7 linked regions of the Ovis aries genome follow. The protein of the gene in region 1 interacts with the protein of each later gene in a biochemical or structural test. Links are inferred from orthologs where the notes say so. Each region holds a gene or a part of one and is shown in the gene's direction. Other genes may lie near its edges.

What was found.
Region 2: the proteins of XIAP (region 1) and HTRA2 form a complex in vitro, tested with the Homo sapiens proteins (10 studies listed by BioGRID and IntAct, with this or other methods). The link is inferred for Ovis aries from reciprocal best matches to the Homo sapiens genes XIAP and HTRA2.
Region 3: of the proteins of XIAP (region 1) and MAP3K2, one has a biochemical effect on the other in vitro, tested with the Homo sapiens proteins (2 studies listed by BioGRID, with this or other methods). The link is inferred for Ovis aries from reciprocal best matches to the Homo sapiens genes XIAP and MAP3K2.
Region 4: of the proteins of XIAP (region 1) and HTRA3, one has a biochemical effect on the other in vitro, tested with the Homo sapiens proteins (3 studies listed by BioGRID and IntAct, with this or other methods). The link is inferred for Ovis aries from reciprocal best matches to the Homo sapiens genes XIAP and HTRA3.
Region 5: the proteins of XIAP (region 1) and UBE2M form a complex in vitro, tested with the Homo sapiens proteins (2 studies listed by BioGRID). The link is inferred for Ovis aries from reciprocal best matches to the Homo sapiens genes XIAP and UBE2M.
Region 6: the proteins of XIAP (region 1) and SEPTIN4 form a complex in vitro, tested with the Homo sapiens proteins (4 studies listed by BioGRID, with this or other methods). The link is inferred for Ovis aries from reciprocal best matches to the Homo sapiens genes XIAP and SEPTIN4.
Region 7: of the proteins of XIAP (region 1) and TLE3, one has a biochemical effect on the other in vitro, tested with the Homo sapiens proteins (2 studies listed by BioGRID). The link is inferred for Ovis aries from reciprocal best matches to the Homo sapiens genes XIAP and TLE3.

The regions. Positions count from the first base shown.
Region 1 is NC_056080.1:107,880,248-107,883,949, forward strand, and holds part of XIAP (E3 ubiquitin-protein ligase XIAP), read left to right. Parts: intron 1-2,871; coding exon 2,872-3,065; 3' UTR 3,066-3,702.
Region 2 is NC_056056.1:96,382,463-96,386,897, forward strand, and holds the start of HTRA2 (serine protease HTRA2, mitochondrial), read left to right. Parts: upstream 1-1,503; 5' UTR 1,504-1,599; coding exon 1,600-2,105; intron 2,106-2,218; coding exon 2,219-2,423; intron 2,424-2,512; coding exon 2,513-2,707; intron 2,708-2,946; coding exon 2,947-2,979; intron 2,980-3,203; coding exon 3,204-3,309; intron 3,310-3,444; coding exon 3,445-3,514; intron 3,515-4,120; coding exon 4,121-4,216; intron 4,217-4,317; coding exon 4,318-4,435. Other genes in the region: lipid droplet-regulating VLDL assembly factor AUP1, read right to left, coding at 30-102, 346-530, 730-880, 960-1,097, 1,178-1,227.
Region 3 is NC_056055.1:118,121,571-118,126,037, forward strand, and holds the start of MAP3K2 (mitogen-activated protein kinase kinase kinase 2), read left to right. Parts: upstream 1-1,622; 5' UTR 1,623-2,112; intron 2,113-4,467. UniProt on the Homo sapiens protein: Component of a protein kinase signal transduction cascade. Regulates the JNK and ERK5 pathways by phosphorylating and activating MAP2K5 and MAP2K7. Plays a role in caveolae kiss-and-run dynamics.
Region 4 is NC_056059.1:115,314,395-115,318,096, forward strand, and holds part of HTRA3 (serine protease HTRA3), read left to right. Parts: intron 1-109; coding exon 110-209; intron 210-3,040; coding exon 3,041-3,263; intron 3,264-3,702. UniProt on the Homo sapiens protein: Serine protease that cleaves beta-casein/CSN2 as well as several extracellular matrix (ECM) proteoglycans such as decorin/DCN, biglycan/BGN and fibronectin/FN1.
Region 5 is NC_056067.1:66,428,691-66,432,907, reverse strand, and holds the start of UBE2M (NEDD8-conjugating enzyme Ubc12), read left to right. Parts: upstream 1-1,238; 5' UTR 1,239-1,769; coding exon 1,770-1,878; intron 1,879-3,005; coding exon 3,006-3,100; intron 3,101-3,217; coding exon 3,218-3,256; intron 3,257-3,368; coding exon 3,369-3,472; intron 3,473-3,723; coding exon of another isoform or gene 3,724-3,778; coding exon 3,779-3,842; intron 3,843-3,936; coding exon 3,937-4,077; 3' UTR 4,078-4,217.
Region 6 is NC_056064.1:9,172,241-9,176,372, reverse strand, and holds the start of SEPTIN4 (septin-4), read left to right. Parts: upstream 1-1,309; 5' UTR 1,310-1,359; coding exon 1,360-1,446; intron 1,447-2,268; coding exon 2,269-2,562; intron 2,563-2,950; coding exon 2,951-3,044; intron 3,045-3,702; coding exon 3,703-3,789; intron 3,790-4,132. UniProt on the Homo sapiens protein: Filament-forming cytoskeletal GTPase. Pro-apoptotic protein involved in LGR5-positive intestinal stem cell and Paneth cell expansion in the intestines, via its interaction with XIAP. May also play a role in the regulation of cell fate in the intestine.
Region 7 is NC_056060.1:16,936,361-16,940,062, reverse strand, and holds part of TLE3 (transducin-like enhancer protein 3), read left to right. Parts: intron 1-64; coding exon 65-141; intron 142-921; coding exon 922-1,171; intron 1,172-1,535; coding exon 1,536-1,783; intron 1,784-2,318; coding exon 2,319-2,466; intron 2,467-3,314; coding exon 3,315-3,465; intron 3,466-3,702. UniProt on the Homo sapiens protein: Transcriptional corepressor that binds to a number of transcription factors. Inhibits the transcriptional activation mediated by CTNNB1 and TCF family members in Wnt signaling.

The DNA.
Region 1 (3,702 bases):
CTACAAAACTGAAACTCTTTATCTATTGAACAGCTTCCATTTTCCCATTCCCCTGGCAGCCACCATTCTGCTTTCTGTCTCTGTAAATTTGACGACTGTAGGCATCTGATCCAGTGTCCTTTTTTATTCATTGTAGCATCACATGCAAAAGTAATGTGTAAATTAATTGTTTTCCTCTTCATGATTTTTTAGGGGATTACAAAGGTACTTTTAAAAAACACTTCGAAGGGGTAGTTCCCTCACCCCCAGGACTGGCCTGGGGAAGAGAAACTACCTGAGAGGAGGGAACCCCGAAAGAGACCTGCTGTGGACTCCAGGCAAAAGGAATGCCTGGGTACTGGGAGCTGTAAGCATGACGGGAGGAAGTGTAGCGGGACAGGCTCCAGGCACACAGGCGAAGCGCAAGAAGATTGGACAAAAAGCCACAAAGTTACTTGTGTTCCTTCTTTTCATTTGCCTTTTTCAGCTTCTACTGCATGATCTCCGAGTCGTTCTGCTTGTGGACCACAGCAGAAAGCTTGTCATCTCAGTGTTTTCTCTTAACCAAGTCACTCTGCTTTTCCATATTCCGCTGGCAGGCTGGCTTTTGCTGGTTGCCACAGTCTTGGTGATGGCAGGAATATACACTATTCTTTTTTGGTCAGGTGCATCCATATAATATAAATCAGTTTATAATGCCATCCCTTTACTTTTGTTGTTTGCTGTGCCCCGAATGCCTTTTTCCTGTTTGTATAGCTCATCTCATTCCCCACTGCACCCCCGATTTGATTCCCTAAACCCATTTCTTGAACTTGTCCTTCAAGGCTCAGCTCAAAGGTCACTCTTTGAAGTTTCCCCAAAGACCTATAGCACACTTTGCAGCTTTCTCTGCTCTCTCTGTTAAAGCATTTGTAACGTTGTTTTGGAACTTTTTCTGTCCCCTTCTATCTGTTAGGCTTCTTGAGGACAGACAGTTTATCTTTCTTATCTCTGTGTTCCATATTTGAGTTTTGAATTATGCCCAGGAGGTTGCCTTTTAAGAAAAAAAAGAAGCAAATAATCCTTTTCTCCATGGCTAGCGAGGAAAACCTTACTGAAGCAATTCTGGTATCTTTTTCCAGGTTAAAACCTTTCACTGGCTCTGGAGCCCTTGGTGTTAAGTCCATACTCCTTCACATGGGTTACCAGATCCTTCATGATCAGGCTCCTGCTAACCTTCTATAGCCTCATGCTATTTCCCCTTCACATTCTCTTCCCAAACCTTACCTGTGCACTTGCAGGCCTCATTCTGTTTCTCACCTTGGAGCCTTGCCTATATCATTTCCTCTGCCCAGAGCACTCTTCTCCCACTGCTCTTGTCCTTCAAGGTCTAAGGCTTTCTCCCTCTTTTAGTTTACTCGTACTTATCCTTTAGGACCCAATTTAGGTATAATATTTTCTGGAAGGCCTTCCCTCTGTGTATACATGGATACACAGCCTTCCTATGTTCTTCATAACACATTGTCATAACTTTAATCATTACATTGTACTATAATTTCCTGCCTACATGTGTTCCTAACTTGTCTATGAATGATTAGGAGCCCAGGATCTATATATTTGTTACTCTGTCTCTAATGCCTAGAACCTAGCTAAGTCTTCCATAAGCATTTGTTGAATAAAATTAAACCACTGTTTCCCAAACTTGTTTTCAAAATAGCGTTCCCCAGAATGTTAAGAGATGTCATGAAAAAGGAGCTCTGTAGTTAAATAGGGAATGCATTTTGAATTTCTAAGAGGGCATATATGCTTTGTTATGCTGTCCTCAACTTGATAGTCATGGTTCAGAAATGCCAGTATGCTCAACCCCAGAAATATTAGATTGAGTGAATGGGGCCCAGGAATCTATTGTGTGTTTTTTTGTTTGTTTTTTGTTTTTTAATGCCCCTAGTGATTCTCATGTGAAGCTAAATTTGGAAACCACTGGTATACAGTGATCACAAAGATTGTTAAAATATGTAATACATTTGGAATAGTGCCTAGCACATAGTAGAAGTGCTGTATTACTTTTAACTGCTGCTATTGCTGATGTTGTTGTCATAGTTATATACGATTGTGAAACATATTTTTGTGCCACATTTGTTAACATTTCTCAAAACTAAGTTTGACAAAGGCTGAATTAAACAAGAACTTCAGTGCCACCTGTATATTGATGAGGCCCAGGTTTCTATCTTTAGCCCTGATTTCTTCTGACCTTAAGACTTAACTCTCCGATTACCTACTGGACATTTTTATATGGATGTTCTGCAAACACCTCAGAAATATCTTAAAAATCCCAAACCTGTACCTCCATTTTTATTTCCTATTGGCACTGCCATCCCCTTGTCAGCCATGCTAGAAATCTTGAAATCAACTTTATTTCCTCTTTCTTCCTCATCCTTCACATCCAATCACTAGATCCTACTTGTCCCATTTCATAAGTAGCCCTCCACTTCCATCTCTCCATTTCTGGAATAAGCGATGCCCTTTCAATATGCTGCTACTTTTACCTAACCCTTGCTTCTCTGCTTAGCAAATTTCTGTTTTTAAATGTTACTCTTCCACCTCCCCACTTCCCCACCTAACAGCCACCAACCCGTGAAACCTTCCCCACCTAACCTGAACAGAAGAACTTGTTCTGTTACCTTGTCCCAGAGCACTTTGTAATTTTATTACAGAACTTATCACTGTGTACTTTGTGCTTACTTCTGTAGCCTCAGCTCACGTCCTTTTCTCCCACTAGCCTGTGAACTGCTTAAGAGTAGATGCCATGTATGAGTTATCCCATCTCCTGACACTTGATCAGCGTCCGGCACATAAATTCACTGTTTCCAACTCAGAACGTCTAAAATTAACACTTTTTTTCTCTTTGAACAGACATTAGTACTGAAGAGCAGCTAAGGCTCCTACGAGAGGAGAAGCTTTGCAAAATCTGTATGGATAGAAATATTGCTGTCGTCTTTATTCCTTGTGGACATCTGGTCACTTGTAAACAGTGTGCTGAAGCAGTTGACAAGTGTCCCATGTGCTACACAGTCATTACTTTCAAGCAAAAAATTTTCATGTCGTAATCTAACTACAGTAGGCGTCTTATGTTCTTATTACCCTGATTGAATGTGTGATGTGAACCAACTTGAAGAAATCAGCATTGAATTCCATTAGCATTTGCTGCCAAGTAGGAAGAAAGTGTAAACTGCGATGTTATAGTTGGCAGTCTAAAATTTGAATTTCTGGATTTTTCAGGATGTTAACTGTATTAGCTGTTCTATTTTTCTCCCACTGTTATTTAATTGAAACCCTAGACTAAGAAGCATCATATTGTAACTGATCACAATGTATGTTTTATAGTACACTGACTTAGTTTTCTAAATGTAAGTGAATTAATCAATTGAATTTTTCATTCATTTTGGATAGGCTTAACAAATAGAGCATTCTGTATGAATGGAGATTAGAGTTAATCTCCCCAATCACATAATTTGTTTTGTGTGAAAAAGGAATGAACTGTTCCACATTGGTGGAAAGATGGAGATGATTTTTAGATGTTTGTGTTTTAGGATTTTTGTCCATTTTCTTTTAAATTATACACATGTACTTGGGTGGATGATTTTTTTTTTTAATGATTTTGCCATTGTTAAAAGGGTATTTAATGATTGAATACCATTTAGCCTACATGTACTGACATAAAAAGACATCAGAGGTATATTAAGT
Region 2 (4,435 bases), on another chromosome or scaffold:
CCCAGAGATTCCCTGTGGAACACACTCACCACGGAGACAAGGGGTCTCTGGACTCGCAGGGTAAGAGGCTGTACCACGTCCTGGATAGAAAATGGCCAGGAACTAGAAGAGTGAAAAAAGTAAGATGGGATTCTAGCCAATCTAGTCAGCAGCTCATACCTGACTTAAAACAGATACTGTCACACTGTACAAATAGAAATGTGGGAAATAAACAGATTCAGGGGAAAGAACTAAAAGTGGGCAAAAAGTAAATAAACTAGGAAGGTAATGGGGAGGGCTGTGAAAACCCCAGGGCCCCCAAGCCTGATCACCTCCAGTTGGAGACAGATACCTGTGCTCACCTACCTGAAGCGCAGGAGCCCCTCCCGGCCATTGGTGGCCTCTTCCTCGGGAAATAGTAGCAGAGGGGTAGGGGGAAGCCTTGTTGAAGCACAGAATCTCTTGAGTGACTCCACCAACTCGCCTTGACCATCCATCTCCATAAAGCCCCGAGACCAGCACACAAAGCTTGGGGGACTATTGAGTAGAGGCTGGGCACCGGAAGGAGAGAAAGCAAGAAGAAAAGAATGCTGTGAAGTGAGAAAAATTGACATATGGGTAGAAAAGCAAGGTCGGGGTAAGGGTCAGTATCTTGTGGTCCCCATGGGAAACCCGAACACGGAGAGGGGTGCCTTGAGCTGGGCCCCAGGGAGCCACTCCGTGGCACTCTCGGCTTCCTCCCTAACTCACGGTGCTACAGCTGGTGAGCAGGTTGACTATGTTGTGGTCGAAAGGTGTCACGTGGTTGGAAATGAGGACCCTGACACGGTGATCCCGCAGTCCAGAGTCCTCCTGCCGGGCCACGAGCCCCAGCACTGCACACATGGTCCGTACCACGAACCTGCGAACGCAGGCAGTGGTGACTACCTGGCCTTGGGCCAGGCCCAGCCCCAGCCCTCCCCGAGCGCCCGGGTCGGAACCTGCGAAAGACACTGTCTGGTAGCGCGCAGCTGACCAGGAAGACGTGGATCCCAAGAAACAGGCGCAGGACGAGGAGGCAGAACCCGACTGGAGCGTAGAGTAGTAGCGCGAGGAGCAGGAAGCCGTCACCCGGGAGCCTGGGGGCGAGAGGCGGGGTGATTGGGCGCCGAAGGCCAAGTGGACGCGGAAGTCGGTCTCTTCCCGCCGGGGTTCTTACCGGTGCGAATCAAAGAGCCGCTCCGGCCCCGGCGACGACGGAGGCTCCATTGCCGCTGCTTTAGGATTGTCTGGCCGCTGCCGCCATCTTTGCGCCCCGCCGCAGGGGCTCTTGGGAAGGCGGAGTCTTCGGGCATCCGCCCAGGGTGCCGGGACCTGAAATTCTGAGGCGCCCCGGAAGGGCTAGCGGTCCCATCATGCCTCGCGGACCCGTGGGCCACCTCATAACTCGCGTCCCGCGGGGACCACAATTCCCGGCATTCGCGGGGCGGGGGCGGAGTTGGCCTCCCGGAATCCTGGGTCCCAGCGTGCACTTCTGGAGACTTCAGGTACCGGCGTCCTCAGCGTCCAGCTGCCCTCCTGGTCGCGTCTAGGGCGCCGCCTCTGCGCTGGGCGGGCGAGGAAGCCGCCGAGGCGGAGCTGATGGCTGCACTGAGGGCGGGGCGGGGTGCTGGCTGGAGCCTCCCGGGATGGCGGGCTTTGGGTGGGGGTCTCTGGGGAAAGGGACCCCTGTTGACCCCTGACCTCCGGGCCCTGCTGACGTCAGGAACTCCTGACCCTCGGACCCGAGTGACTTATGGGACCCCCAGTTTCAGGGCCCGGTTGTCTGTGGGGGTCCCTGAACCACGGACATGCCTGAGGTCCTGGACTTCGGATCTCCGAGCACGGCTGATCGCTGGGACCCCAGATCCCCGGACTCCGGAAGGCTCCGGAACTCCCGGAACCCGTCCGCGCGTGTGGCTAGCGGTGGCGCTGGGCGCTGGAGGGGCGGTGCTGTTGTTGTTTTGGGGCGGAGGGCGGGGTCCCCCGGCTGTGTTCGCCTCGGTCCTTGGCTCGCCGCCCACCTCTCCCCGGAGCCAGTACAACTTCATCGCGGACGTGGTGGAGAAGACGGCCCCTGCCGTGGTTTATATCGAGATCTTGGGCCGGTAATGGTGGGGGTAAACACTAAGGCACCGAAGCCGCGGGCTAGAGGGCGGGCGAGAAGGATGGGTCTGAGCCTCCTCACATCTGTACTGTCCCCCCGCCCCCCTTTTTCCAGGCACCCTTTTTCGGGCCGCGAAGTCCCTATCTCGAATGGCTCAGGATTCGTGGTGGCTGCCGATGGACTCATCGTTACCAATGCCCATGTGGTGGCTGATCGGCGCCGAGTCCGTGTAAGGCTGCCTAGCGGCGACACGTATGAGGCCGTGGTCACAGCTGTGGATCCCGTGGCAGACATCGCCACGCTGAGGATTCAGACCAAGGTGGGGGTCGGGGCAGGCCATGTCTGCTTGGGACTGTGAATTTGTTCACATCTCCAGATGCCAGGTCTCTTGTACCCATTCTCCCTTAGGAGCCTCTCCCTACGCTGCGCCTGGGACGCTCAGCTGATGTCCGGCAAGGGGAGTTTGTTGTTGCTATGGGAAGCCCGTTTGCACTGCAGAACACAATCACCTCCGGCATTGTCAGCTCTGTTCAGCGTCCAGCCAAAGATCTGGGCCTTCCCCAAACCAATGTGGAGTATATCCAGACTGATGCAGCTATTGATGTGCGTCCTGATATAAGAAAAATGAGACTAGGTTGGGAGAGAGGGGAGGGGTGTGTGGTACAGGCACCAGTTGTGATAGATGGTGGATGAGCCTATATACTGGGATTGGGTTGCAAAAAATGTGGCCACTCCTTCACGGGCTGGGAAAGGAGAGGATTTGGAGAAAGTGTCTACATCCTGATTGTGCCCCGAGGCATAGAGTCCCTGGATCTCTGCCATATTTTCTCCTTGTCCTGCAGTTTGGAAACTCTGGAGGTCCCCTGGTTAACCTGGTGAGTGTGACATCCTTTCCAAGAATCCCTATCTCAGGTCAGTATGGGAAGAGGTGGGTTTCCCCTAATTCACTGGTGTTTGGTCAAGTTTCTGAGCAGTTTCTTGTTGGCTGTCTCCCAGAATCCAACTAGATCTCCCCCAAAACTCCCTCCCACTCTTGCTCAGGTACCCCCATCTCCTATTATTTGTCTGGGCTAGAGAATAGTGGGCTGTGTCCCAACAGGATGGGGAGGTGATTGGGGTGAATACCATGAAGGTCACATCTGGAATCTCCTTTGCCATCCCTTCTGATCGCCTTCGAGAGTTTCTGCATCGTGGAGAAAAGAAGAGTAAGCCTGGCTTTTGGGGAAACGGGTTTCTTTAGTGGCAGGGGTGGGGAGGGTTTGCTGGAAGAGGGGTCAATTGGGAGGAGGAGGGGAAGTAAGGATATACCTGGGTGGGGCTCATTTGTCCTTCTAACACAGATTCCTGGTTTGGAGTCAGTGGGTCCCAGCGCCGCTACATTGGGGTGATGATGCTGACCTTGACTCCCAGGTATGAGCTTTAGGGGTAGTGACACGTAGGGCCATCAGTGTAACCAGTGGTGGGTACCTGGCAGTTCTGTTGAGCTTCGTTCTTAGTTCTGTTTTTATCTAAGATGAGTTGCCTCATTCCTCTCTCATTATCTTGATTTTTCTCACCTCACTCTATTTTGCATACCTTCCATCCTGTTATTGCTTAGATTTACAATAAATACCCAACCTTCCAGATGTGGCTTCCCTATGAGTATTTTCTGTTCCAGCCAACTTGATTTCCTAATCCCGTGTTTTTATGTTGTTCTTGTTTTATATAGTTTAATATCAGATTGATTCTTCTAGGTTAAGCTAAAGTTATAGCACTTCCTAAGTTATAGCTGCTTTTAGGATTCTAGAATGACATTAGTGCTATTGATTTAACCCTGTGTGTCATTTGGAATGTTACCTTTTATATACACATTCTGCTTCCTAACTGCTAGAAGGCAAAAAGTGAATTGTTTTTGTATCAAGAGGATCTAGTGCACGTCCTGTTCACACGCTTGTCGGTGTGCTGATGAAAGATGTGAGGCAAACCCCGAATGGGGAGAGTGCCCTGTGACCAACAGAGTGATCTGTGTCCTTTCAGCATCCTTGCTGAACTACAGCTTCGAGAACCAAGCTTCCCTGATGTTCAGCATGGTGTGCTCATCCATAAGGTCATCCTGGACTCCCCTGCTCACCGGTGAGGGAGAGGCTGCGTTAGGAGGTGGAGATGGGTGGGGTGTATGCGCCCTTGAAGTGGGCCATCTAGTTCTTCCTTTATCTCTCTATCCTTTGCCATAGGGCTGGTCTACGACCTGGTGATGTGATCTTGGCCATTGGGGAGCAGCTGGTACAAAATGCTGAAGATATTTATGAAGCTGTTCGAACCCAATCCCAACTGGCAGTGCGGATCCGGCGA
Region 3 (4,467 bases), on another chromosome or scaffold:
TAAACAAGTATTTACTGAGTGACTACTATATGGTCTGGAGAAGGAAATGGCAGCCCACTCCAGTACGCTTGCCTGGAACATCCCATGGATGGAGGAGCCTGGCTGGCTTCAGTCCGTGGGGTCGCAAAGAGCTGGACACGACTCAGCAATTTCACTGTCACTATATGGTCAGGCTAGGAACCATGGAAAATAACAAAACGTTTAAGATTTAAATCCTGCCCAAGTATATTGAGATCCTTTATTTTTCTGTGGTATATCAGGCTTAGACGTTAGAACCAAAAGCCATCTTAAAGACCGGTTTTCTGCATACATAAGCTTAAAAGTACTCTACTTTTTAAATTAGTGGCAGCAAAGTGCTTTTCTATTAGGCTTTGTATTTTTGAGGTCCTCCAGCATTTAGCCTTTCTTTGTGGTGGCTGCCTAATTCCCTGCAGAGCAAATGAACCATTATTTATCCGCTCAGTCGGAGTCATTTAGGTTTCTAGGCTTCACCGTTACAAAAACTTGCCAATGAACATCTCTGTTCTTGCTCCTTTGACAACACCGCTAGTGTGCCTGTAATAAAAATTTCACGAAGGGGATCTAGGTATTTTATTACAGAACAGCCTTTCCCTCAGTCCCTGCCCCACAGGTGCGATCTCCCCTGTTCTTCAGGGCCGCAGGTTGCGTAGCTGCTTTCCTCTGGGTGGGCACCACTCTTATTTCAACTGTTTAAGTGGATATGAGGCAGGAAGCAGGTGGGATCCACAACCTACCAAGAAAGCACGCAGATGCTAAAGGAAGAAATGGCGCAGGAAGTTGTAAGGGGTATTTGAGGAAACAAGAGACGGGGCAGGACAGATACTCTCTGGATCATAGTAGTTTGGGCTGGAGACAATGCAGAATGCAGGTCAGTCACATAACAGAGGCCTCCAAAGCTAATGCGATGAGTTTGTACTTAGTACTGCGGGGCGACGGGGAGTGAAGAAAAGACTCCGTGAAAGCGATTGGGTTTTAGACTCTGTCACAAGTGCTGGGGGTGGAGTGTCAACTCATCTTCCTGCGCCGAGATTTCCACATTTGTTAACAATTAAAAAGTAATACTTGCTGGGCCGACCTCGAATACATACAAGAAGTAAACAGTGAACTGTAAAACTTAGAAGGCCGATCTCCAGGGTAGTGGTTTACGGTCAGGTGACAAGTCGACAAAAATTTCTTAAATCTTTTAGGAAAAAATGCTGAAACCAGATCCCAAAACGAAATCTTTTCGCCTGCAAACGACTTGCTATGGACTCGAAGTGGGTCGCAGCCTCTTCTCACTCCGCTGCTCTCGCTCTGCCAGAAGCCCACGCGGGAGACCATTTTCGAGGTTTGTTTTGGCGTCTCGGCGCCAAGGACTCCGGTAGACGCGAGGGAACTGAGGTGCACGCGCGTGCGTGAGAGCACAGGCCCGGAATCTCCGCACTACTGAGCCGGCGTGTGCCACCGGGCGTGCGTGGGCGCAGCCAGCCACTGCGCAGGCGCGGACTCGCGCCCCCTCGGCCTCCAGCGAGCGCGCGCGCCCCCGGCGGGTTCCGCTCCCGACAGGCGGAGGGCTGCGTGCGCACGAGAGAGCCGGCCGTGACGTGCGCCGCGCTACGCCCGACGTCACGGGTCCGTGTGTAGTGGCGGCCGGGCTGCCCTCAGCAGCGGCTCCCGACGAGGGTGGTGCGGTCGCTGGGTGCGGTGTTCGGGGGTCCTGCGGCCCGCAGCGGCGGCGACGACGACGACGACTACCGGGCGGCCCGGCGCTCCCAGCCGCGGAGTCGTCGCTCCCGCCCCTTCTCCGGCCTCGGCGGCACCCGGCCCGCGGCTTCCTCCTTTTCTGCCCAGCTTCCCGCGGGCCTCGGGGCCGCGGCGGCGAGAAGGAACGAGGGGCGCCGAGAGGCCCCGGCCGGCCGCCACGGTCCACGCGCCCGCCGCAGGCTCCATGTGAAGGAGGGCCGGGCCTGGCCCCCGGCCCGCGCCCGACTCCTCGTGCGCCCCTCCGGTCCCCGGGGGCCCGCAGCCTCCCTCGACCGGGGGGCGCGGTGACAGGCCGCGCGGGGGCGGAGGGGTGGGTCTGCGGCTCCCTACGTCCCCGCGGAGCGGCGGGTAAGTGCGTGCGTGCGTGTGTGTGTGTGTGTGTGTGTCCGTGTGTGTGTCCGTGTGTGTGTGTGAGCGCGCGCGCGCGCCCGCACAAATGTGTGGCGGTGGGGGTGGGGGAGCGGGGAGGGGGCCGGACGTGAGGAGGGGGCCGTTACCGGCCTGGGCGCAGCCCCTGGGGCGGAGATTTTGCTAGGTTGTTGCCTCGCTTGGGGTGGGCGGACCTTGGGTCCCTTGCATCCTGTCCTGAAGTCCAGGTCTGAGCGAAGTAGACCGCTGGGCGGTGGAGCTGTCAAGACGCGTACTCCGCCGGGCCTTTGGAAGGAAGATTGCGCCTGGTCCTTGGGAGAGGCAGAAATGTTACATGCAGGAAGCGAGAAAGTGCTTGTCTTTGCCCCGCTGTATCGTCGTGCACTAGTGGTTGGGGTTGATGCCCCTTTCGCTTTAGGGACCATTTAGCGAGCACTTGTTACGCCCCCGATACTTAACCGTGCATTGTTTCACCTCACCTTGGAAGCCCAGTGCGGTGATACTGTCTCTCCATTTTACGGTTGAAAACATCGAGGCTCAGATTGAGGAACTTGCCCAAGGTCACGCAGCTTGGTAATCTGGGAAAGCCTTGGTTCGAATATGATGTCTTTTCTGTAGAAGTGTATTTCTCTAGTTCAGATCTTGCGAAAATAAATATGTGAGGAAAATGAGAAAACCTGAAAAGTTTCTTCTTGGGAGTGAAATCTAAATATTTAAAAAAGTAGATCGAGTTTATATGCCCCTATTGTAGGTTGTTCAGTGTGTTTTGCTGCAGCCTAGCCAAATGATCTTCTTGATTCTTTCCCCCCAAAATTACTTTTAAAAGGTGACTCTAGGCACCTTTACCTTTTTCTTTTTTTGAGTTGGAACTGACCGAACAGAAAATATTTCCCCTCTTATCAAAAAGAAGAAATAGATTTAGTTAAACTCCGTATTTCTTGAAAAGTTACAATTTGTGCAGTTTATTCTTGATGCATACAGGGAACTCACAGTTGGGTTATTTGCTTGAGATTTCCTTATTGCAAAATTTGTTTCTGGATTATGTGGCAATGACAGCATGCTTAGTAATTTGTGCATTAACTTGTGCAATATCTCTGAGTGGAGAGCCAGAATTTAATGTGTAGAGTGTTGTAAAAGTTATTTTTTAATGATGTGATTGTTTTCTTTCGTATGTATGTAGCAAACTAATGAGTATTTATAAACTAACTGAAATTCTCATGTAGCATTGACCTATACTCTGTTTCTTTGATGATGGTTAAAGTTAGATAGCCTTTACATTTCTCTTTGCAGAAGAAAGTGTTGATAAAATTCTCTTGAGTAACTTAAATTTCATGCATAGTTGTAAATGTTGCAGAAATCTATTGATGCCCCAAATTGTAGTAGTTTGTAATTTCCTTTAATGTATTATCAGATAGATTTAAGAAAATTTGTAGTTGAATGTCTTTGTAATGTCTGTAGAGAAAAGGTTGAATTATAGAGCTAAGAAGTGGATGGTTCACAGATTGATTTGTCGTTTGCTTAAAATACAAACGTGTGTTGAGTCTTGTTGAATGTAATATCATTATAGAATGGTTATCTAGTCATGCTCTCCATGAATCTCTCTTGAAAGAAATAACTATTAAAGATTTATTGTAAATAATTTGATGATTACAGTGTAGACTCAGTCTTTTAAGTGTTTTAATTGGAACTTTCATCCCTTGTTTACCTTATTGCTACCAGAGGGGAAACTATATTTAATAGATGCTGTAGTAAAATGGAATTGTGTTTGGTTCTAGACAAGTCCCAGCTTTAGTATCAGATTGATTTTATTTTTCCTTGTAGAATTGGAGCTCTCAAAGCTCCCTCCCACCTGCCCCCCAACCCAACCCCAACTTTTTATTAGGACAGTTTTAAGTACACAGGAGTTTGGTAATATCAGAACCCACATAGTAATCCTATAGACTGATTTATTGGCATCTTGCCATACTGTGTACATTATTTTTGGCCGTGCGTGCCTGTGTGCTCAGTCAGTCAGTCAGTCAGTCAGTCATGTCCCACTCTTTGTGACCCCATGGGCTGTAGTCTGCCAGGCTCTGTCCATGGGATTTTCCAGGCAAGAATATGGGGATGGGTTGCCATTTCCTCCTTCAGGGGATGTTCCCAACCCAGGGGTTGAATCACTATCTCCTGCGTGTCTCTTGCATTGGCAGGCAGCTTCTTCACTACTGAGCCATGTGGGAAGTGTTTTTGGCTATACCATTTGAAAACTAAACTGTGGACACTATGACACCTTACCCCTAAATATGCCAACTTGCATTTCCAAAGATAAGGACATTTTCTTACACAGCCAAAATA
Region 4 (3,702 bases), on another chromosome or scaffold:
TGGAGATATAAGGTGGGGAAGCCCGGCATCCGCCACCCTTGGGAGAAGCGAGCCCTGTGCCTGGAGGTCTGGGCCTCACTAATGCACCTGATTCTTCCTGCCAGTACAGGTCTCCACCAGCTGACCAGCCCACGGTACAAGTTCAACTTCATTGCCGATGTGGTGGAGAAGATCGCGCCGGCTGTGGTCCACATAGAGCTCTTCCTGAGGTGCGTGGAGCCCCTCCTACCCCCACCCCACCATCTGCTGGGCCCAGACTAGACTCGATCCCAGCACTGGGGGGAAGGGGGCCAGTAGAGACGAGAGTGGCTGTGGAGTCCAGCGGACCCTGCTCAGACTTCCTGGTCGCTGTTGCCCTGGGGAGGACGCCCCTCCCCGACCCTGACCAAGTGGCCTAAGGAGGCAGAAAGCAGCTCGCACTTGACCCAGCTGTAGCGGCTGCTGCAGGGTCACGAGGGCTGTCTGAGCTGATACCGCCCTGCAAACCCCCGGCTCCCACAGAATCCTGGGGTCTCCTCCCAGACCAACTTCGACACTGCAGCTCTGTCTTAACCTCACGGCCGCTGTGTGTGGAGGGGGCTGGCAGGGGCCCAGACAGGACACGTAGGGTCAGACACTCCCCTTCCATCCTGTTGGGGTCAGAGGGAGCCAGCCTCTTGCATGCCATGCTGCCCGAGGGGACCATCGCCAAGGCCTCGGCCACAACCCCGGGGCCTCGCTTGACTTGACTTCACGGCATTCCCCAAGCAGTGGGGGCAGCCAGCGTCATCAAGCCCCCCAAAGCACAGGGGATGAGGCAACCCGCCCCCAACCCCACCCCGAGCAGGGGGCCAGGAGTGGGCAGAATCGCTCCCACGCTGACTCCTGACCCCGGCACGGGACCCCGCCCCTGCCCGCTGGCCGTGGAGCTTGATCAGTGGGAGCACCTGCATCCCGCCCCCAACCTCTGGAGGCCTAGGGGCTGAGCAGATGCCTGGCGCGAGCTCAGCACGGTCCTCGGAACCTGCTCTGTGCCCGTCGCCACACGGGCTGCCCTTCCTGCCCTCCTGAGCTTCTCCCATCGCCCCGGCCTGGTGCCGCCTCCCGGAGGAGACAGCCAGGCCCAGCAGCCCATACCTCAGCGCTGACCGACAGCAGCTGCACCGTACTCCGAGGCCCTCCCACGGGTCAGGAAGGCAGGGTCCCATGTTCCCATTTCTGGATGTGGAAACAGTGGCCCAGGCAGCTGCCCCAGGCTCAGGGCTGCCCCCCAGGTCTCTGGCATCTCAGAGCCAAGCCCATCCCCCTGCAACACGCTGACCCCTCACTGCCTTTCCCACGGGCCCCAGACCCTGAGATGTGTCTTTAAGGAAACGACAGCCCAATGTGTGAATGGCCCGTCCTTGGCCTTGCAGGTGGTTGTTGGGGGGCAGCGTCCTTCCAGACACCAGCCCTTGAACCAGATAGTTGCTGACTACAGTGGGAGGCCGCAATGGTGGGTCCAGCCTTCCTTGGAGGCTGAAGTCTTGGGGTGAGGGCAGGGTGAGGCCGAGGTGGGCACCATCCCAGACATGGGCAGCGTGGTCCTCCAGCACAGGCACCTCCGGCTGTGACCTCCGAGTGCACAGGGAGGGGCCCTGGACTGCCTGGGGCTCTTCCTCAGACCCGAGGCGAATCCTGCACCCGGCAGGCCCCAAAATTGGGTGCAGCCACTGCTCAGGGAACTGCACGGAACCGGGTGGAGGCTGGAGCTGGTCTCAGGCCTGAGCAGACAGATGCTCTGGTCACCACTGGAGGGGCTGAGTGGCCAGGCTGCCCAGGTCAAAGCCTGGCTCTGCCCTTCCCCTGCCTGACCCGGGCGGCTGGTTCGTGTCCCTGGGCCGGGGTCCCCACCTGTGAACTGACTGTGGGCAGGAGGCTGACCTCTCTGAGCCTCAGTCTCCTCATCCAGGAAATGGGCTGACACCACCTCCCCTGACCCGGGAGGCTGGTTCATGTCACCAGGCCTGGGTCACCACCTGTGAACTGACTGTGGGCAGGAGGCTGACCGCTCTGAGCCTCAGTCTCCTCATCCAGGAAAGGGGCTGACACCACCTCCACTGACCCAGGCGGCTGAAGGCCTTGTTTCCCCACCTGTGAACTGGAGGGCCTCTCTCTCTTGTAGGCCGGCCGTGAGCACGGTGGGACTCGGTCTCTGGCTCCGTGGGCACTCTTGGTGACCTTGGTAGTCCCTGACCTGCTGGGGAGGTGGCGTTTCTGCGCTTCCCAGAGATCCTCTCTGTTCTTCCTCCCCGCCCTTCCCCATCCCCGCCCCCTAACACACACACACACACACACACACACACACACACACAGTTAGACCCTTTATGGCTGGTGTCTGTCCAGCAGCCTCAGGCATGCTTGACCTGCCCCGTCCAGACCCTGCACTGCGGCCCCAGAGACAGTGGCGACCCTCCCCCGGGAAGGCCCTGAGCCTTCCAGGGCTTCAGGGCAGGCAACCAAGGCGCCGGAGGGAGGTGGGAGCATGGGCCCCTCAGTGTTTATGACCCTCTCTCTGTGCAGCTGGAGATTAGGAAGCTGACATTCCCCGAGGGCCTGCTGAGTCCCGTGGAGCTGTGTGCACATCCTCCTGTCTTCCCTATGGCTTGTTGACCGACTGCCTGCACCTGCTTGGTGGAGCAGGTGGTATCGGCCCATTTCCCAGATGGGGAGACTGAGGCCCAGAGGGGTCCGCCCCGTGGCTGTCCACAGTCAGGCAGGTGTAAGTGGGGATTGGACTCAAGGTTACAATCCTGGTCTGTCTGGCTCCAGGGCAGGAAGTGCCTGCTGCGTTGTCATGGAGCTGACATTCACAGGCCTCACATCTCGTCCTCGCAAATGGCAAGTCACAGGCCATTGTTGCCCTCTCTGTGGCTGTGAAATGGGTCCAGACTTAACGACTGGCCAAGGCCACAGCCAATAGGTGGCAGAGCCAGGATTCAATCCTAAGGCCTGGTGGATGCTCGTTTCCCCCAGACCCTGGCTGTGGCTGACCCAGCCCACCCACCTGCCTCCCCCACAGACACCCTCTGTTTGGCCGCAATGTGCCCCTGTCCAGCGGCTCAGGCTTCATCATGTCGGAAGCGGGCTTGATCGTCACCAACGCTCACGTGGTGTCCAGCACCAACACCGTCTCAGGCCGGCAGCAGCTCAGGGTGCAGCTGCAGGATGGTGACACCTACGAGGCCACCATCAAGGACATCGACAAGAAGTCGGACATCGCCACCATCAAGATCCACCCCAAGGTGAGTGGTGGGGGAGCCCTTCCTGGACCCTGGGGCTCAGGGACCTCTCAGCCCCACTTTCCCGTCAGACACTCAGAGGAACTGAGGCCCCTGGGGACTGGCAACATGTCCTAGTCTTGGGTCTAGTCAGACTACAACCCCGATATCTGGACACTGCCCTGCAGGGCCCTAAGTGGCCCATGCAGGGCAGAGCAGGCTGCCGTCCAGGAAATATGCCGCTCCCACATGGAGGGTGGAGGGTCTCCAAGGCTGGGGACACTTCCATTGTCCCTCCTGGGCCTATTCCTGGAGATGCCACTGTCCCCCTGGGGGTCACAGAAGGGGTGACTCCCTCCTGCATGCTTCTTGCTGCTCAGCTTCATGGTCCCAGCTCCATGGGGCACCGTGGGCTCACCTGGGTTGACCTGTGCCCAGCCCACGCCATGAAGTCCATGGAGGC
Region 5 (4,217 bases), on another chromosome or scaffold:
TCATCCGCCCCAAACCTGAGGTTTTCTGCAGCTTCCAATCGCTTAGCCTCACCCCAGCACCTCTCCAGCACACAGCTCTCAAGGAAATCAACGAAGCCGGCAGTCTGGGGCGAGGACGACCAGAGGGTTGAAGGGGGGCTTCTGGAATGGAGGAAAGAGAATGCAAGCGGGAGAAAAAGGGAACGGCTGCAACAGCCACGACTAGGATATGAGACCACGGAGCCCAAGGACGCCGAGGGTACCCGAGAGGAGGCTGGGGTCGGCAGGGACGCCAAATCACGGCCCGAAAAGGTGGAGGTTACTTTCTGGGGTGAGGATCGGGCCGGGGTAGCCAAGAGGAGGCCATGGCCCACCACTAGCGCGGGCCCAACTGGGCCGCCGGACTACTCCCACTGTGCTCCAGAAGACGGCGGCACGCCGCCTCAGCGACGGGGTGGGTCGTGCGGCAGGAGCCTCATTCGGTCGCGGGAAGGCTCAGGGGCAGAGCCCCGGCCGCCCCCCGGGCCCGGCCCCCCGCCCCGACCAGCCCTCGTGGCGCCGCTCACCGCCTGACGGAGTCCTCGGTGACAGCCTGAAGTCGCAGAACCGCTCCGCGCCGCCTGCTCGCGCCTTCCAACGCACGCTGAGCTGTGATTGGAGGGGAGGCTGGCTCCGCCCACCTCGCGGACGGAGATGGCGGAAGGCCGGGGGTCGCCTGCGGGCAAACTCTAGACCCGTGCGGAGGGCTGCCCCCAAGCGTGTGAGCCCGTGTAAACCTCCACAGTGTTATACTATCCTCTGACACGTTTTATTTGCTAGTTTACCTCAACCAAACTCTGCAGGCGGGTTCTCTGAGCCTGAGATGGGACCCCGAAGGTTCTGAGTCATGCACTCTAGGCCACGCTCCTGGCCTTGCTCAGGCTCTGACTCTAACCCTGCCTCCGTCTGTGGCCCCTGGGGTCAAGCCCCTTGTTTGGCCCGTCTATGCCGCCGTCCGCACAACTGCGAGTGGGCATGGCGGCCCGCAAGTGAGGCGGCCTGCATCTGCCCCACTTAAATATGGCGGCGACACCGCCATCCCCCTCCTCCCTGGACTCGCGGGCGTCCCCGGAAGTGACCGGCCCGGCCCGCACGAACGGAAATACCCGAACCAAGCCGAAGGAGCCCGATCCCCAAGTCCCAGCGCGGAGCAACGTGGGGCGGTGGCAGCGGCTGCGCAAGCGCACAGCGCAGGCCGGGCGGGAAGAGCCGAAGCGGGCAGGCGACGGAAATAGCCGAAGCGGTGGGGCGCCCGAGGCCGTTGCGGACCTCCGCGCCGAAGCCGCTGCTGCCACGGAAGCCGGCCCTCCTGTCTAGTGCACGGCCATCGCAGCCCCCGCCTCCCCCTTCCGCCTCGAGCCGCAGAGCCCTCGCGAAGAGAGCGAGTGACCAGGCCCAGGGACACGGCTTGAGGACCCCGCGTCCGCAGCCGAGCCTGAGGACGCCGGAGCGGACGGCCGGGAGGAGGGAGCGGCGGGTGGGGGCGGGGCCGAGTAAGCCCGAGAACAGCCGAGCGGGCCCGAACGCCGCCGAGCGGGCCCGAGGCGCCGGGCCAGGCCAGAGCCGACTACGGGAGCCGACGCGGGCCGCGCGGTGGGCGCGGAGCAGCGCGGCAGGCCCGGCGGGCGGCGGCAGCAGCCGGAGAGGCCGCGGCGGCGGGTCCGAGTGGCGGAGGCGGCGCGGGCGGCGGCGGGGGGCCGGGTGGCCGGGGTCCCGGGCCCCGCAGCGGCGGCAGCGGCGGCGGCGGCAGGATGATCAAGCTGTTCTCGCTGAAGCAGCAGAAGAAGGAGGAGGAGTCGGCGGGCGGCACCAAGGGCAGCAGCAAGAAGGCGTCGGCGGCGCAGCTGCGGATCCAGAAGGGTAAGGGGAGTCGGGGGATGGGAGTGGAGGTCGGAGGTCAGAGCCTGGCTCCGGGTGATACGGGAGTCAGGTGTGGAGTAATGCGGCTGCCAGGGGTCAAAGGTGTCAGAAACGGGGAGGCCGCGGATGTGGGGATCGGAGACCAGGGCCTGGGGGCCGAGGGGCCGGGGATGGGGTAATATAATCACCAAAGTGGTCGGAGGTAGGGGGGCCGAGCAGGGGGCACTGAGCGTGTTCGGAAAGCTAGGAGTCTGATACTAGGGACCGAGAATCTGAGGGTGGCAGCGGAAGAGGGAGACCGGGAACTCGAGAGTCGGGGGGTCAGATGGGAACCTGGGCGACAGGAAGAGGAGATAGGGACAGTGGGGCCGAGGATTGAGGATCGGGGTGGGAGATTTAGTGTATTAACGCTAGAGTCACTGGGAATCAGAGTCAGACCTGGTGAAGTGGGTTCTGGGGCCTGGGTGTCGTGGGTCTGGGTGAGTCACATGTCAGTTTGGGGTGACAGGAGGAGGGAGGGATGCTGGGTACCAGGGATTATAGAGATAGGAGTAGGGTTGGGTTTAGACCATCCTGCTAGAGATGCTGGAACTCTTATGCTCAGAATAGTATAGGGTAGGAGGCTTGGGAACTCACAGATCTGGAGGTCAGATGGGATCCTGAGTTTAGGACGACAAGCAGAGAGGAGTGTATGGACAGTGGGGGCCAGGGACTGGGGGGGGTGGTGATTTAGGGTGAGGAAGGGAAATAAGATCCTTGCATCTGCGCAGACAAGTAGAGACTCCTCTAGAAAGCGGAGGTCGCGGTCAGGATGCTGGATTTGGGGTGGGACACACAGGAGTGGGAACATGTAGGAGCTGGGCTGGGGGACTTACGACTGGATTCAGAAGAGTTAGAGCTTGCCCCCCAGGAGTTCCAGCATATCTGCAGTGTTCCATAGATACGGAAGAGCCTGCCTGGAGACGCGGAGCAGAAGGAGCAGGGAGAGGGAGGAGGGGGTGGCCCACTGCCCAGGACAGAACTGGGGTCCTGGGTAGAGGTTATGGAGGCTCTGCTGGCACCTGCTCTGAGCACCCCCTATCTCCCCCTTTCCTGGCCTGTTTCCCTTCTCTGCTGTGAAAACCCAGACATAAACGAGCTGAATCTGCCCAAGACGTGTGACATCAGTTTCTCAGATCCAGACGACCTCCTCAACTTCAAGCTGGTTATCTGTCCTGATGAGGTGAGGGCACGCTTAACTGGATTCTCAGGCACGGCAGGTGACACCACCTCAAGTTGGCTGGTTCACCTGCCGGGCCTTGCAGAGTGGGGTTCTGACTCCTCTCCTCTTCCTTCACAGGGCTTCTACAAGAGCGGGAAGTTTGTGTTCAGTTTTAAGGTGAGTCTCAGGTGTGCAGGGGTGGCTCCCTGGGCTGAGGAAGCAACAGCTGAGGCCCCAGCCAGGCACTGCTGTGCACCTATCCACTTGCCCTCTCTTCTCCTGGAGCCAGGTGGGCCAGGGTTACCCGCATGACCCCCCCAAGGTGAAGTGTGAGACGATGGTTTATCACCCCAACATTGACCTCGAGGGCAACGTCTGCCTCAACATCCTCAGGTGAGGGCACTGGCCCTCCACTACGCTGCCCAGCCCTGCCTGCCAGGCCCCCTTCATGACCTTGCACTATACCAGTCTCTTTCCCTTCCCTTCCCCTTGTGGTCTGTGTGTCCCTCTGTCTCTTCAGCTCTGCGTTTTCTTCCTCATGGCTTGACCTTGGCTTTCTGGCCTGTGCTTCTCTGCACCCTCCCGCTAGCATTTCCCGATCGTGCTGTCCCATGCCCTGGGCCTGACCTGTCTGGTCCCAGCAGGGCCTGTGGTGGCTGCCCGCTCACCAGCCCCTATCATGATGCTCTCTGCCCACAGAGAGGACTGGAAGCCAGTCCTTACGATAAACTCCATAATTTATGGCTTGCAGTATCTCTTCTTGGTGAGTAGGGGTGGGGGTGGGAGGGCAGCTGGGGGAGGTTGGCCCTCTGACTTCTGGGCTTGTTGACCTCCTGCCCCTCCCATACCGGCCACAGGAGCCCAACCCTGAAGACCCACTGAACAAGGAAGCCGCCGAGGTCCTGCAGAACAACCGGAGGCTGTTTGAGCAGAATGTGCAGCGCTCCATGCGGGGTGGTTATATCGGCTCCACCTACTTCGAGCGCTGCCTGAAATAGGGCTGGCGCATACCCACCCCTGCCAGGGCCACCAGCCCCGGCGTCCCCTGCAGATATTTATTGGGGGCCACAGGTGGGGGGACAATGGGGCGGCCGGTGGGGGAATCCCATGCCCTGGCCGGCCACCCCTCCCTGCTACC
Region 6 (4,132 bases), on another chromosome or scaffold:
GACAGGGGGGTCAGAGAGAAAGGGAGAGGAGCAAGTCAGGACGCCGGGTTAGAAGAGCATCAAGACCAGGCTGTTTCTGTGCGTGAGGAACTTTGCCTGGCAGATAAAATTAGACCTAGAGTTTGCTGACAGGGAGTCTGAAGCGTGGGACATGGACCGTGTCCTGGGACGGCAAGGCAGTTCTGTCCCCGAGGAGAGGGCTGAAGCTGGGGTAAGGCTGCTCTGGGAAAGGGTGGACCTGCCTCGTCTTCTCCCTTGTGTTGGCTGGATCGGGGCTCAAAGGCAGAGAAGGATTGGCTCCGTGGCAGAGCCGGGGGCCGATGAGGTCCCTGGGGTCCTGACCCCTTGGTTGGAGCTCCTGTGGGTCCCTCCCGTGCCCGCTGGAGGAAGAGTGGTGCTGGCGGCTCTCCTGGAAGGTTTGCAGGAGGCTGGGGGTCTCCGGCAGGGCCTTCCCTCCTCCCTTCGCTGCTGCCCCTCTGGCTCAGTGCTCCTGGTGAAACCAGGCGGAGAATGTCCCCTCTCTCCCACCCTCAGTCTGCCCCCCAGACGGACTCTGGGTTCCTGTGGGGTTGTGCAGAGGGACAGGATTTCCCCAAATTCCCCAGACTCCTGGGCTGCCAGAAAACAAGACCTGTCACACACACTCCACCCACCTCCCACCCCCATCCGTTCCCCGTTGCTGTATAATTAATCGTCTGAGCTGGGACACTTTTAAGAGTAGAAAGGGGCAATTCTGCTAGAACAGCAAACATAAACCGGAATGAATGGTCACCCCACCGGCCCCCAAAGATACTGTGGGTGAGAAAAGGCCAGCTGGGTCAGGCCTGCCTCAGGACAGCCTCTTCTGGCCACTTGGCCCCCACACACTGGTTCCAGTTTCAGGCTAAGCGCCCCGTTTCCTGTCCAGGCAAGCCCTGGAGACTGTGGCTCTAAGCTGGCAGGGGCACTTGAGAGGCTATAGCCCAGAAGTAGCTCTTAGGCAGCTTTCCCCTCTAGCCCCCTTCTAGTCCCTTCCCTCTGCAGAAAGCTGGCAATGCATAGGACTGCATTCCTCCGTTCTTCCCGCTGTAGCCGGGAACCTGCTGAAGACGGTGGCTGCCTTATCTCCCCTGTCTGGGACTCCACAGTGGTCTGGGGTAGCCCCCACTAGCTTGGCCGATTCCCAGGGGGTGAGTCAGCCTGTGAAGCCAGCCCTTGTCCATTGTCTGGGGATGGCACGTGGGTATTGTAAGGCAGAGCTGAGCCCAGCACCGCCAGGCACTCCACGAAGGGGGCCGGCCCCCAAAGGAGAGAGGAAGCTTCAGGGTCTAGAACTGAGGGTCAGAGTAAGGGGGACGTGGCCTGTCTTCCCAGCTGGAGATGGTGGGGGAACAGGTCTCCGCAGAGGAGCCAGCCACCGTCTGCCCACCCTCCATGTGCTTCAATGTCGAGGCCAGACCCCTTCCGGTACTGCCAGCTGAAGCCTAGCTCGGGGCAGGGGGCAGGGCGCAGCCAGTGGTGCCTCCGCCTCTACAACCCTCACGGCTGGGGGCTTTCTGCAGTGTCCTCCCACCCTCCCTCACTCGGTCCCTCGCGAGCATCCCTGGCACATTTCCCCTTCGCCCCTGGAACCCAGGCTCAGGGTGTGGAATCAGGGGGCTCAGGTCAGCTGCTCTGCGCTCCCGGAGTGAACACCTCCGGGAGAGTCGGCTCCCGGTCCTTCCCGGTCCCGGAGCTCAGAGCTGCAGCGGCCGGAGGTGAGGAGCCCCCTGCTGGCTCCTGAGTCGCCCGGGGCTGGAGGCTCCTTTCTCCCCGCCCGGGCTCCCTCCCGCCTCCCGCCCCTACCCGTCCTGACGGTCTGCACCCTCCTTCCGTCCTGAGCCACGTACTCCTCTCCGCTCTAATGCCTCTGTCTGCTCCGCTCATTCGGCCTGGCTTCCTGGCCTCTAGGGCAGTCCTGGCCCTGGCGTGGAGGGGCAGCCTCGACCAGCACCCTGTAGCGAGGGAGCAAGGAGACCGGAGCTGCTGGGTCCCCAGAGCGGCTGCTGGGGCGCCGGGGGCTGCCGCTGCCTCCCTGGGGTCTCTCCTGCTGTCCCGGACCCTTGGGCCGGGAGGCCTGTGAGCAGGGGAGGGTGGCGAGCGCTTCCTCTGGCTTGGCCGCCTGTGCAGCTCCTTTCCCTTCTAACCACACGTGCTTTCCTCTCTCCCTCTCGCCTTCTCTTGTCTTGCTCCTTCCTTCTTCCCTTCCTGCCACCGACCCGCCTACCCCACCCCGCCCCTGACCCTCAGATCAAGCGCTTTCTGGAGGACGCGGATGACGCAGAACTGAACAAGTTCGTGACGGATTTCCCAGGAAGCGAGACCTACCACCCACCAGAGGCCAAGACCTTGGTGCCCAGGCCCCAAATCCAGGAGCCGAGGCCCCAGGCTTCAGACCTCTGCCAGGATGACCTGGAGTTCAAATCCCCCTCGTGGCCCCAGCCCTCTGACAGCCAGCAGTACTTCTCTGCCTCAGCCCCCCTCAGCCCCTCAGCCCGGCCCCGCAGCCCGTGGGGCAAGCTCGATCCCTATGACTCCTCCGAGGTAGAGCCTCCAGCCCCGTCTGTGCCGTGGGCTGATGCAGGAGGACCTGGGGAGGGAGCTGAGGGAGCCCCAGAAGTGTGTGCGTGTGCCTGTGTGCGTGTGTGCATGTGTGTGTGTGTGTGCGTGCATCCACACGTGGCTGGAGACGTGCTCTGTCCTGTGTTGGCCCCAGCTCTGTGGGGTCACCCCCGCACCCCCCATGCATTGGAACCCGACAGTCAGCAGGGACAGGAGCCCAGCTGGTGGCCCCACCTGGGGCCTCAGAGGAGTGTGGCAGTGATCCTGGAAGGCTGGGCAAAGACCCAAGAGGCGGGGAGAAGGCTGGCGTTGGGTCCCGGGGTCCTTCTGCCTCTGCCGTAATGCACTCTGCTTTCTCATCATCCTCTAGGATGACAAGGAGTACGTGGGCTTTGCGACCCTCCCCAATCAAGTCCACCGGAAGTCTGTGAAGAAAGGCTTTGACTTTACCCTCATGGTGGCAGGTAGAGCAGGGGCCGGGCAGAGCTGGGCAAGGGGCGTTTCAGCTGGGGATGGTCTGTGTGTGTGGGGGAGTATGGGTGTTAGTTGCTCAGTCGTGTCCGACTCTTTGTGACCCCATGGACTGTAACTCGCTAGGCTTCTCTGTCCATGGGATTCTCTGGGCAAGAACATTGGAATGGGTTGCCATTTCCTTCTCCAGGGGATCTTCCCAACCCAGGGATGGAACCCAGGTCTCCTGCATTGCAGGCGGCTTCTTTACTGTCTGAGCCACTGGGGGATGGCCAGGGCAGGAGAAAGCAGCAAGTGGCTGTGCCTTTTTGCAGAAGAGCCAGAAGCTGTAGGTGGCCCCAAATCCGTATCCTATCCAAAGTCCTTATCCTATGTGTTGTGGGGGAGGGGTCAGTGACAAGGTCCAGAGAACCCTTAACCCTCAGGTTCCTAACATTTGCTTTTTGCTGTGTGACCCTGAGGAATCCCTTATCCTCTCTGGGCCTCACTGGCTGGATGAGCTCTCATCTCTGCTTGCTTCCAGTTGTGCTGTGTTTGGGTTAGTCTCTTCCCAATGAGATAAGCAAGAAGGTCCCCCACACACTCTGCCCAGTGGGGTGGCCTCTTGGTGACCGCTGTGACTTGGTGCCTCTGTCCTGTCTCCCCCGTCAGGAGAGTCGGGCCTGGGGAAGTCCACGCTGGTCAACAGCCTCTTCCTCACAGATCTGTACCGGGACCGGAAGCTCCTCAGTGCAGAAGGTAAGGGAAGGAGCATGAGGACAGGCAGGCAGAGCTGACCTGAGAAATGGAGCTCACTCGGGGTCTGGGGGATGCAGGAAGCTGTGGCTTCCTAGAGAGCCTGCCATGTCTCTCCGGAGGGCTGTCCAGGCTGGCAGCCCACCAGCCAGCTCCCTAAAGACTTGGGTGCTGAAGCAGGGCAGGGGCCAGAATCCTCTCTGACCCCTCAAAGGATTCCAGGAATCCGAGAAAAGAGGCTGGAGCAGAGAAGAGGCTGGGGCCGGAGCCAACAGCCACCGGCATTTCCTGTGTTGGGAAATGTGCTCTTCGCTGGTTCCCAGAGAACAGACAGGCCCCCGGCAGC
Region 7 (3,702 bases), on another chromosome or scaffold:
TTGTATAGTAGGGGGACAGAGGACGGCACCCCTCACTAAGGGCTGGCCTTGTCTTGCCTTACAGGTTGGCTTTGACCCTCACCCCCCAATGCGGGCCACAGGCCTGCCCTCAAGCCTCGCCTCCATTCCTGGTGGAAAACCGTAAGCCTTGACTACTTACTTTCTGCTTGTTGGGGAGGGCAGAGAGCACACCACCCACCCACCTATCCCCTGCCCTGATGGGCCTCTCCTGGGGAAGGGTGTCTGCCTCTCTAGGGGTACCCCTGGGGCAGGTTGCAATCCCGTTGATGGCTGCTTGGCTGCACTCCTGATCGCCCCTGGGCTCCCTCTGAAAGGGGAAGGAGAAGGTTTGGGGTTGAGGTTGTGATCCCTGGGCTCTGAGAGGGAAGGAGCGTTTCACATGTCGGGCTTCCCAGCTGGATGCCATGGATCTTCCCTGCCCTGGGGGTTCCTGTGGGTTCTAGCCACAGCTGGCACTCCTATGACCTGAACCAGCAGGCAGACCACACTGGCTCACCCCTGGCTCTGATGTGTACTCTGTGATTCATTTAGGGACAGGGGGCAAGCGGATTTTCTTCCCTAATACTACTGGCTCCTAGAGGAGGGGTGGCATTCAAGCTGGGCCCTTTCCGGGGCCAGAGTGCTAGGGATTGTATAGATGGCGGGAAAGGTTGTTCCAAGGCAATGAGGGATCAGTGACGTGGTTTGGAGCAAGGATCTATTAGCAGGGGCAGAAGTCAGGGCAGGACTATGAAGCTGTCTCCGCCCTGGTGGAACCAGGTCAAGGAGGTTGGGGTTACCAGGTTTCCTAAGATGAGGGCAGGGGACACCTGGAGGCAGGCAGGCCAGGCAAGGTTTAGGGCCAGTCAGGAAACTGTTAGAGGACTGGAGATGGCAGAAGCGTGGTTCTCCCCCTTTCAGAGCCTACTCTTTCCATGTGAGTGCTGATGGGCAGATGCAGCCTGTGCCCTTTCCCCACGACGCCCTGGCAGGCCCTGGCATCCCCAGGCACGCCCGGCAGATCAACACTCTCAGCCACGGGGAGGTGGTGTGTGCGGTGACCATCAGCAACCCCACGCGCCACGTCTACACAGGAGGCAAGGGCTGCGTGAAGATCTGGGACATCAGCCAGCCGGGGAGCAAGAGCCCCATCTCCCAGCTGGACTGCCTGGTGAGGACCCCAGGGCTGCGGGCATCCCTGCTAGCTGTCATAGGAGAGCTGGGGCCTGGGCGGCACCCCACTGACCTGGCCAGGTGCAGCCCTGTATCGACTGAGCGACTTCGGGCAACCTGGCAAACCTCTCTGAGCCCTGCTGTCACTGTCTGTTAAGGGGAGATGATGCTGGTCTCCAGGGGTCTGTAGAGAAGTGGAAGTTTAAAAAGTCAGGAGGGAGCAATGGGGTTGGCCTGGCAACCGCGAATAAGGGCAGGAAGTGAGCAGATGTGGCGAGGATGCTTGGTGTGGCTGGATGTGACTTTCCCGGTCCCTGGGAGGAGGGGTGGGCGGCGCTGAGCACTGCCCCCTCCTCCTTCAGAACAGGGACAACTACATCCGCTCCTGCAAGCTGCTCCCCGACGGGCGCACGCTCATCGTGGGCGGCGAGGCCAGCACGCTCACCATCTGGGACCTGGCCTCGCCCACGCCCCGCATCAAGGCTGAGCTGACGTCCTCGGCTCCGGCCTGCTATGCCCTGGCCATCAGCCCTGACGCCAAAGTCTGCTTCTCCTGCTGCAGCGACGGCAACATTGCCGTGTGGGACCTGCACAACCAGACGCTGGTCAGGTGAGGCACGGGAGGGGCAGGGCTGTCCTCGCCCTGGGGAGGCCGCGCTGGCGTCGTGGCTGTGACGGCCGGTCAGAGGTGCTGTGGGGTGGCCGGGGTGGCACAGGCGAGGGCGCCCAGGCGAAAGGACGGCGGCTTGTGCCAGGTGTCCAGCAGGGGCGGGAGGGCTCTGTGGACCAGGAGCTTGCACCAGGCTCCGGGGAGGGGGCCCTGGAGCAGACCCCGCAGGGCAGAACTCGGATAAGTTGAGACACGCAGAGATGTGGGGAGAAGAGGCGGCGTCGAGACCGCTATGGAGGAGCTTAAGTGTGGGGCCTCGGGAGCAAAGCTGCTGGGTCTGAGCCCTGCCTCCCTGTGACCTCATGAGAGTTCTGGCCCTGGCTGAGACGCTCAAGTGGGAGAGGAGCCCTGAGAGACCGTGGCCCTCAAGTTTCCTGTTCTGCTGGGGGAGAGTTGGCATCTCCCTGGGACAGCTGTCAAAACAGCAGGCAGTGCTTCCCTGGGGCTTACCCTCATCCCTGCCTGGCCTTCCTAGGCAGTTCCAGGGCCACACGGACGGGGCCAGCTGCATAGACATCTCCCATGACGGCACCAAGCTGTGGACGGGAGGCCTGGACAACACTGTGCGCTCCTGGGACCTGCGGGAGGGCCGGCAGCTGCAGCAGCACGACTTTACCTCCCAGGTGTGTGCCTGAGACCCCCCCGCCCCATCCACTGGAGCAGCGTGGGGCCTTTCCTCCCTGGGTCTCAGTGGCTGGTTCAGGGGACCAAGGGGTCCTCACACGTGGTCATTACAAATGGACCTGAGACCAACCTGAGTCATCTAGGAAGCCTTCCCGGAGGAAGTGGCCATGAAATAGAATCCACAAGGCTTTGGAGTTGGTCGCATCTGCCCCTGCTGCTCAGACTTGATACCCAGCTCCTCTGCCATTGAGCATTTGGCCTCAGTTTTCTCATTCCTGGGATGGGAATAGTCATAGCTACTTCATGGGTCTGGTGTGAGTACCTGAAATGGTCCCTCTGAAAGCCTTGGCTGTAAGCCTGGCTATAGAAAGCATTCCATAAATGCTAGGTATTATTTTTTGTTATTGTATTATTTGTGTTAATATTTTAATCTTACATGTTTAATACATTAGTGTTTTATTTACTCATATTTTTCTTAAGGAAAGGTAAAAGTCACCGAGACAGAGAATAACTTTGAACGTGAAATGTCTGTGTCACCTCTGAGTTTGAATCCTGGCTCTGCCACTTTACTTTTTAGAGTCAGCAACCTCTCTGAGCCTCAGCTTCCTCACCTGGGAAGTTGATTGTGGATAAAACATGAGATCCTCTTCCCTTAATGGGGAGAGAGGGGGACTTTGCATTGCACATGGCAGGTGGGGAGGTGCTGGGGGAGGGAGTCGGTAAGACGCTGAGCCCACAGGGTTCCTGAGCAGGACCGTGGGAGAGCGCCCCTCCTCTCCCTCCTCCTGTCCCCCTGCCCCGCTGTGCTTCTGGAGGACACTGATCTCTGCCCGCCCCATCCCTGCAGATCTTCTCGCTGGGTTACTGCCCCACCGGGGAGTGGCTGGCCGTGGGCATGGAGAGCAGCAATGTGGAGGTGCTGCACCACACCAAGCCCGACAAGTACCAGCTGCACCTGCACGAGAGCTGCGTGCTGTCCCTCAAGTTCGCCTACTGCGGTGAGCCTGGGAAGCGGGAGCCTGGCCAGCCCTCCGCGCAGGGGTGCGGCTCAGAGCTTAGAGAAGGGCCAGGGCCCCGCTAAAGGAGCACGGTCTCAGAACTGGGCTCCTGACCCAGACCAGTACCCCCATCCCGCCCCGCACCTCAGGATGCAGATACTGCCACAGGGTACCAAGCACCTGTGACACCAGGCCAGAGCCAGACTTTGATGGCCTGGGGCAGAGGAGCAGTGTGCC